Cricetulus griseus: one gene and its partner. The protein of the gene in region 1 interacts with the protein of each later gene in a biochemical or structural test. Links are inferred from orthologs where the notes say so. Each region holds a gene or a part of one and is shown on either strand. Other genes may lie near its edges. The genes, in order: Anxa1 and S100a11.

Region 1 (3,819 bases):
TTTCCTTCATTTAGGCTCTAGACATATTTTTTTGTTTCTTTTTTCTCTCATTCATTATGTTTTATTTGTATTTCTTGTTGTGACTACTCCAAAACTTTGAAAGAACAGGAATAGTGGAAATAAGTGATGTTGTCCATGCCAAAGTCACAAAGTGTGTTCTCAGTAGTGTGGACTGTGGCAGTTCAAAGCTGACAAATGGGCACATAACAGTGAGTGTTATTGCATCCATTTGATATGGAAAGACCTCTTTCTTCCCTTCCTCTTACTTCTCCTCCATAAGGAACTTTGGACCTTCCGTAAACATATTCCAGAAAAACGAACTTCTTGTTACCTTTGCGAAGATGAGATTTGCTTCTAGTAGTCAGAATTGTAATGAACACATTCGTATCTGTCCCCTTTCTCCTCTCTCCAGCCTCATACAAAGCCTATCAAGAAATGAATAAGTAAACATGTGACCATGCATTGAAATGACAAACAAAAATTATTATATTTAACAAAGGTTATATAAATAATTATGTTGTACTTAATACTATCAGAGTAGGCATCCCTGGGGTTGGCCCTTCTTGAAAGTGAAGACAATAAAGTCAGCAGTATAGTTCAAAGTGCTTTGTAAACATGATAAACAGAAGATATGGGATATCTGTTTGCTTTAAAATTACTCTGTTTACAAAGACAACTCAAAGAACTCATTAAAACAGATTTCCTTTTTCTACTTTTTATTGCTCAAAGAAATTATTAGCTTTGAGTTTCCATTTAGTTTGATGTTGGCTATTGGTTTGGTGTGTATTGTGTTTAGATATGTTCCTGTTATTCCTGTTCTCACCAAGATCTTTATCATGAAGGGATGTTGGATTTTGTCAAAGACTTTTTCGGCATCTAGTGAGATGATGATGTGGTTTTTCTTTTTCAGTTTGTTTATATGGTGGATTACATTGATGAATTTTCGTATGTTGAACCATCCTTGCATCCCTGGGATGAAGCCCATTAGCAAAAAATATCAATAAATATTTTTTTTGTTCTTTTAAGACAGGGTTTCTCTGTGTAGTTTTGTAGAACAGGCTGGCCTAGAACTCACAGAGATCTGCCTGCCTCTGCCTTCAGAGTGCTGGGCCTAAAGGTGAGTGCTACCACTGTCCAGTTAATACATAAAAATTTAATCACTGCCTAGGTCTTATATTTTCTTCCTATATCCTCAGATTTATTTGCTACTGAAGGATATGCCATTTTGATGCTATTATTTCTGTACACAAGTTTCAAATCTGAAATTTGAAAGCTGTATAATCTTAGGAAGTAATTTAAATACAGTTATTCCTCCTTTATGAACGAAGATAGTAATCCCTACCTTTTGGTTATAAGTATCTTCTACTAACTCTAAAACATTTGTTGGTTTCTCCAGACAGGATTTCTCTGGTAGCATTGGCTGTCCTAGAATTTGCTCTGTAGACCAGGCTGACCTTGAACTCAAAGTATTCAACCACCTTTGCCTCCCAAGTTGCTAATATTAAAGGTATGTACCATCACCATAACCTCAAACTTTAATTTGCTTTGGTAATGCTGAGTCATACTAATCATGTAGTCTCTGTAAATATACATCAAGGAGCCCTAGTAGTCTGGAAAGAGAATGCATAGACATGATAAGAATAATTTTATTGTAGGCAATTATGCATAATTATTGTTTTTATATGTTTGCACAATTTCTATTAAAACATAATGTTCAATGTGTTTCTTGATTTCACTTTACTCAGCAAAAATTTCCTTTCCCAGCTGGGCATGATGGTGAATGTCTCTAGTGCCAGCAATTGAGATACTGAGGACAGAGGATCTCAAATTGTGGCAACTTATAGCACAAAGGGGTTGGGCTTACATATAGCTATCTTCTTATTAAGTCAAAACTTGGGGTTTTCTCCACCCAACAGGTTTTGGGAAAGAGACAGAATCTCATTGTTCTTTCAGTCATCTCTGGCTTTCTAAACAATAAGATAAATTGGAAACATAAAGACTATATTTTCCATTCCAGGGATATAAGACTCTGTTTCTAATGAAATAAACATTAAGTAATAATTGTCTTCTCACAGGACCTGAGATGTGCTTCCACATAGTGGGAGCAAGAAGGTAGGAAGACTTGCTTCATTGATAATGTCTCCCCTTTGCTTACCCTGGCATCTGTGTCAGCCAAATCTTGATTCACACTCAAATCCTCACAGCGGTCACCCTGAAAAATGCCCAACATGTTTTAAGATTTTCTGTAGGATGTAATCACTAGATACACTTAATTCTCTTAAAACAAGACATAACTTTTGAGGAAAAACAGTGAAAACAATATCTATAATTTGCAGCAAAGTTGCTGGGAGGAACAGAAGCAAGACAGAACAAAGCAACTTTGTATGAATTCATTTAGATGTGCTTCCTAAAACACCTGAATTCATAGATGCAGACTACACATTGATGATGACCAGAGATGGTAGGATGGGGAACAAAAGGTTGGAGGATACTGATAAAAGGACACAGTCTCTAATAGATAAGAGGAGTACATTGTGGTATTACAACATAGTAAGATGAACATAATCAAAACACAGTGAGTGTTTTTAAATGACTAGAAAATAAACTTCAAACATCTCACTGAAAAAGTGGTAGGAAGTGAGATTATGAAGTTTTTATATTGCTAATTTTACATCATATATATATACGTATATATATATATATGTCTCATTATTTCCTCAAATACTTACAAGTATTATTCATCAATGAAGCAGTATTAATTTTAAAGGAAAGAGATTCTCATTCCTAGAAAATGCTCACAATTCTAAGGTTTTATTATTTATAATAGCAAAGACATTTAACCCATACCTTGGCAAGAGAAAGCAAGGCCTTCCGGAAGTCTCCAGAAGTATCCGAAGTGATGTCTTTGGCCAGATCTCTCTTTAGCTCTACAAGAAGAGAAAATAATTTTTTCAGTTAACTATTGGAAAACAACGGTGTCTGCATTAGCTTATAGTTTACAAGATTGAATGACTCATGTAACTTATCTCAAAACATTTTTGTGAAACTGGAGAAACTAGAGCAGCAGAAATTTTAGGCTATAAAATAATTTTTTATAGATCAATGGAAGAAAACTGAATAATACTCTAAATGAAAAGTTAGTAATAAATATTTGCTAACAAGAATGAATACTTTACCAAATCATTTTGAAATACAATATGTGAAAATTTGAAAAATGTTACTTGCTTGAACACTGGCTATTTATTTACCTTAAAATTATAAATATTCAATATATAATATGTTCAATGGCATGTGAGCTCATTTATTTAAAACTTGTGTCTACAGACATCATTTGGCTATAAAATATGGTGCTTTAGTAGGAAAAATAACTGAATTTACAAACAAAGCAAAAACAGCACCTTAAGCTATTTCTGGACCAAATCTTCAGGATTTTAGAGAAATGTGGATGTAAGGCTTTGTAAACTGCATTTTATCTAACACATTAACAATTATTTCTCTTGAATTATTATTACCAGGAAATGGATCTAAGACACTGGGGTAAGAATTACAGAAAATGTGGTCATATTTTGACTAATGTACTAAAGTGAGAACAATGTGCAATGTTGTTGTTCCCTGAGTACTTGGTAAGAGGGTCAGACACAAAGATGTTTCATGTGCTCACATATTAGTTTAACAAAACAGAAAGCCAATAGCTCAGAGGAACTAGAAAATCACCAGAGATGTGGAGCTGTCCCCTGTGCAGTAAGGACTGAGTCATTTGACTGAAGGCCTCACTGCCCAATGAGCCACTGATAGTCTTTTATGCCAAGTATCTATCTA
Region 2 (4,425 bases), on another chromosome or scaffold:
TACTTTTATTGTTTCATGTTTTGCTCTGAAGTAAGCAGTTGATCAGAACTGCACATCAGGAAAATGTGTTTTTATATTGATTAAATGTTTCTTTTTTTTTTATTGGAGGGCAAGGGTCCAGTTACAAAATAAAAGAAAAAAAGGGAGTGGGAATGTAAACTAGATCAGTGTGGTAGTATAATTATGGGTGGGTCCAAGTACAATAAAGCTGACATTACAAGGGCTTTGATTTAAAAAAAAATGTGTAAGAAAGACTTAAAAGAAAACACTGTGGTAGTGTTTTCAAGTAAGGAAAATGGAAAAATAGCCACATTGTTGGCAGAAATGGAGAAGTGAGGGTGGGGGGAGGGAAATCTAATTATTTCTTAAATTATTGAGGTTCAAACACAGGTGGGGCTTTCGAGTATGTTTCTTTTAGTTTGGATTTTAATTTTCTTTTGAGACAAGGACCTACTCTGTAACCTAGGTTGGTCTGGAACTCACTATGTAGCCCACAAGCTGCCCTCAGACTTTCAGCAGTTCTCCTGCCTCTGCCTTGCAAGTGCTGAGAATACAGGCAAGAGCCACCATGTCTGACTTGTTTAATGGGGTTCTAAACAAGGGCCAGAAGCTGTGAGGGTGAGTACAGATGAAACTGGAGAAGAGGATTTGGTCTCCTGTACCCAGGAGTCAATAGCAGAAGCTGGCAGTGAATAGACACTAGGGCATATTCACACAGAGCTCCATTTGCGTCTACGCTGCAGATTCTGGAGTCCCTGCAAAGACTTCACTCTGTGACAGTCCTAAAAGTTTACTAAATAGTAAAGATGACACGACTTGTTTCTAGATAAGGAAATGGAAGCTCAGAGGGGAGAGCAGTCTTGACAAAAGTACTGCAGTGGCGTTATGGACCGAAGATTAGAAGCCAGATGTGCTTCACTCAATCCCCAACTTCACTGAAATGCCGGCAGGCAAATGCCTCACTAGCCCAGGCCAATGTTTAGCTGTAATAGTTTGGTTATTTTCATTTTTCTGTTTTGTTAACTGCCATTTTAAAGCCTGAGAGCCCAATGAAAATTATCTCTAGACAATAATCATCAATATTCTGCTGGCAATAACCATTACAGTCAGGTAGGCCAGGAGGTGCATACCTGTAAATCCAGCACTTGGGAAGCCGTGGTAGGAGGGTCCTAAGTTCGAGGCCAGCCCTTGCTACACAAAGTCAAAATCAATCTCAGCTACATAGGAAGACCTTGTCTCAAAAAAAAAAAAAAAAATTAAAACCACCACTGTTCATTAAATATCTTCAGTGTAATAGAATAGACAGCCCGGATCCTAGAGCCCTCCTTGACAACTATGATCCATTCTTCTTTTTAACGGAACCATTCAGCTTATCTAACCTGAAGTGCAAATGGTCCCAGACCGGAAATGAGCTAGGCATATGGACAGACTTTCCCCAAAGCCAACGATCTTTGAGATTCACAGGAGAGAGGGAGAGAGGCCTGTTGAGTGTCAGGGAGGACAACTGGTGTGTTGTGTGCCTGTGCGTGAATCTAGGCAAAGCGAGTTCGAACGCAGTGGGACAGGCCTAGGCCTGCAGAGGGGAGGGGTGGGGGAGGGCCCGGCCTGAGTCAGTCTGAGGGGCGGGACCCGGACCCTGATCGCCACTCCTGTCCCTGCTGTCATCAGCCACAGTCACCGCTCGACTTTGCTCCTCACCAATTTGGTAAGTCTAACTTATAAAGATTTTTTTTTCTTCCGTTTCAATGAAAAGAACAAAGGGCAAAGCTACGCGTGCTCTCGGCCGGGTGTATCTGAGACTAAGTGTGGACGTGGCAGAAAACAGATCAGGAAGAAGAAACCGTGTGGGAGGCAATTAGAGAAGAGCGGAGGGCACCGCGAAGCCCTAAAATTACACCCTAATGACAGCCTGGAGGAAGAAACGGGGACTTTTGTTCACCTAGGCAAGATGCAGGGTAGGGCTGGGTGCGGCCGCCGGACTGGCCTCGGAGCCCGGGCTGGGTGTGGCCCCCGGGGTCGCTGAGACTTGCGCCCCTGTACCCAGTGGGCGGCGGGGACTTCGGCCGAGCCACCTATTCCGGGAAGGCAGGGCACTCCGCCGGAGAGCTGGAGATCTGGGAGAAGTTCTGGCGGCGGCGTCAGGCGTTCGTGCAGATCAGAAAGTGAGCAGTTCAGAACTTATTCTTATTCCCGAGTTCTCATTCCTGAGTTCTGGGGAATCAGCTGCGGAAGCCGCGGGCAAGGGGCCAAGGAACACATACGTGCACCGAAACTGCAGCCTGTTGCAGCTGCCCGCGGAACCGCCGGCAAGAATGTGGGAGGAGGCCAGTCCCTCCCAGCCCGCTCCTTTCCTCTTCCCCTTACTCACCCCCCCCCCCCGCCATCTTTTTAGCCACTCCCGGCATCACCTGCCTGTCTCCTCGTTTGTCTGTCTGACTTTTCCACTAATTCACCCGTAAAGTCTACTTCCCTTTGTCTCTGCAATGAAGAAGCTCAGCAAACTTTGGAGAGTGGTCCTAGTCCCAAACTAAGCATAGATTTTGGTTTTTAAATGGTTGGAAGACGAAAGGCAAATGATCCCTTGTGATACATGAAAATCAAATGTATAAATTTTATAGGCACTCCACACCCTTTCACTTTTTGTATTTTGTTACTCTTGGTGCTGGGCTACAGTGAATGACAGGACCTTATGGAGCATAAAGAGCTCAAAGTAGTCACAGCTGCCCCTTTATTTTAAAAGAAAAAAGTTTGCAGACCCCTGCTTTGGCGTGCCAATCTCTTATTTTCCTTCTTCCCCTTTTCGTCACACAGGGTGCCTTGGGTCCAGCACCCACGGGTTGAGAGGTGGAGGAAGAGTGTTGGCTTTGGTTAAGAACGAAAGAGTTAACTGGTGTGGTTACCTTTTTCCCATATCCCCATCACAGGGAGGCTTTCCTGCAATGTTGAATGTTTAGGGTGCATTTAAAAATTCTTTGACTGTGTCCTTCCATCGCGTGTTTCCCTCCTTGCAGTCACTGGTCCCATCATGTAAAACGGTGGTGTGGTGAGGGCCCTTTCTTTCAGCCACTGCTACACAGGGGCAAAACCTTCCCACCCTAGCAATACATTCTGCAAAATATGGGGGAAGGAAGCATCTGTAGGTGTGGAAAACACAGAGCTGGGCCCATCAGCCTGGAACCTTCTCCCCAGTCTAGTGTGTGCCCCAAGCCAAACTTCTGCGATCACATGACACACTAGTAATAAGGTATTGAGATTTTAGTTCTGATAGGAGGGGCATGTTGTGCAAGCACTTGTTTCTAGGCTGTGATGTTTTGTTTTGCTTTGTTTCTCTAGGCCTTGAACCTACCAACACTTTTATCTTCTTCAGTTAAAGCTTCCTGTCAGGCAGCTTAAGTCTCCAACATTGTGACTGTTTAAAAAGGATTTATCTCCAGAAGGTTCAGGTGAACATTCCTAGGTGCAGCGGGCTACAGCAGTGCAACTTTGAGGGTAAAGTGCCTAAAGACAGGAGGTGCTAGGAGCAGAAACCAGGGGCTACAGGCCGGCTAGCTTTTGTCATCTTTATCACACTGCCTGAAAGCTCCCAGATTTCATATCCAAGAAGCCCATCAGAGAGAAATCAAAGGCTAAATTCTAAGTTGCAATTGTTAACATCCATCCAAATCATAATTAATTAACATCAAGAAGGAAGCTTCAGGGTGTGGCCCAGCAGCTTCCAAGAAATCCTGCAATTGTGCACTCATCCACCAGGGGGAGCACAACAGTTCAATTCTGAGTTCTGGGCTCAGATTTTCCTGTGCAGTCCTGCACAGAATGAGTGGTGCAACCCAGTAAGATTTCCTTTAGGAATTCTGCTGTGAGAAAAGCAGAGTCCTGCACAGGATATGAACTGATGCTCTTTCTGGTGCAACCACATATTTGGTTCAGCTCTGTAATAAGAAATTCCAGCTACCATTCCTGTGGAAATGCGTGGCATTTGGATGAAACAAAGGCAGATGTCAACAGAAAGAAACCTGGGAGCCGAGAACCTGGGGGTAATCTGCCATGATAGTTACCCTCTTGTGCCTCAGTTCTGCACAACTAAGTTAATGGTATATAGTTGTCAGCTTCACACTCACACACACACACACACACAGAGAGAGAGAGAGAGAGAGAGAGAGAGAGAGAGAGAGAGAGAGAGAGAGAGAGAGAATTATTTGTGATTTTACTAGGTAGCCCAGGAACCCAAACTCTTGATCCTTCAAGCATATGTATCCTCACATGTAGTTGAATATACTTTGGCACATCTAAAATCCACCCCCTACCTGCCAGTGCACAATTACAGATATGCTGTTCATTTTCTTCAAAGAAATGCCTGGTTTCAAGAGTTTGGCATTAATTTAATGGCATCCTAATCATCACAGCAGCCTCTCCCTGCTCTTGGGG

What was found.
Region 2: the proteins of Anxa1 (region 1) and S100a11 form a complex in vitro, tested with the Homo sapiens proteins (2 studies listed by BioGRID). The link is inferred for Cricetulus griseus from reciprocal best matches to the Homo sapiens genes ANXA1 and S100A11.

The regions. Positions count from the first base shown.
Region 1 is NC_048596.1:40,891,103-40,894,921, reverse strand, and holds part of Anxa1 (annexin A1), read right to left. Parts: intron 2,928-3,819; coding exon 2,848-2,927; intron 2,213-2,847; coding exon 2,156-2,212; intron 426-2,155; coding exon 332-425; intron 1-331. UniProt on the Homo sapiens protein: Plays important roles in the innate immune response as effector of glucocorticoid-mediated responses and regulator of the inflammatory process. Has anti-inflammatory activity.
Region 2 is NW_023276806.1:62,510,848-62,515,272, reverse strand, and holds the start of S100a11 (protein S100-A11), read left to right. Parts: upstream 1-1,551; 5' UTR 1,552-1,705; intron 1,706-4,425. UniProt on the Homo sapiens protein: Facilitates the differentiation and the cornification of keratinocytes.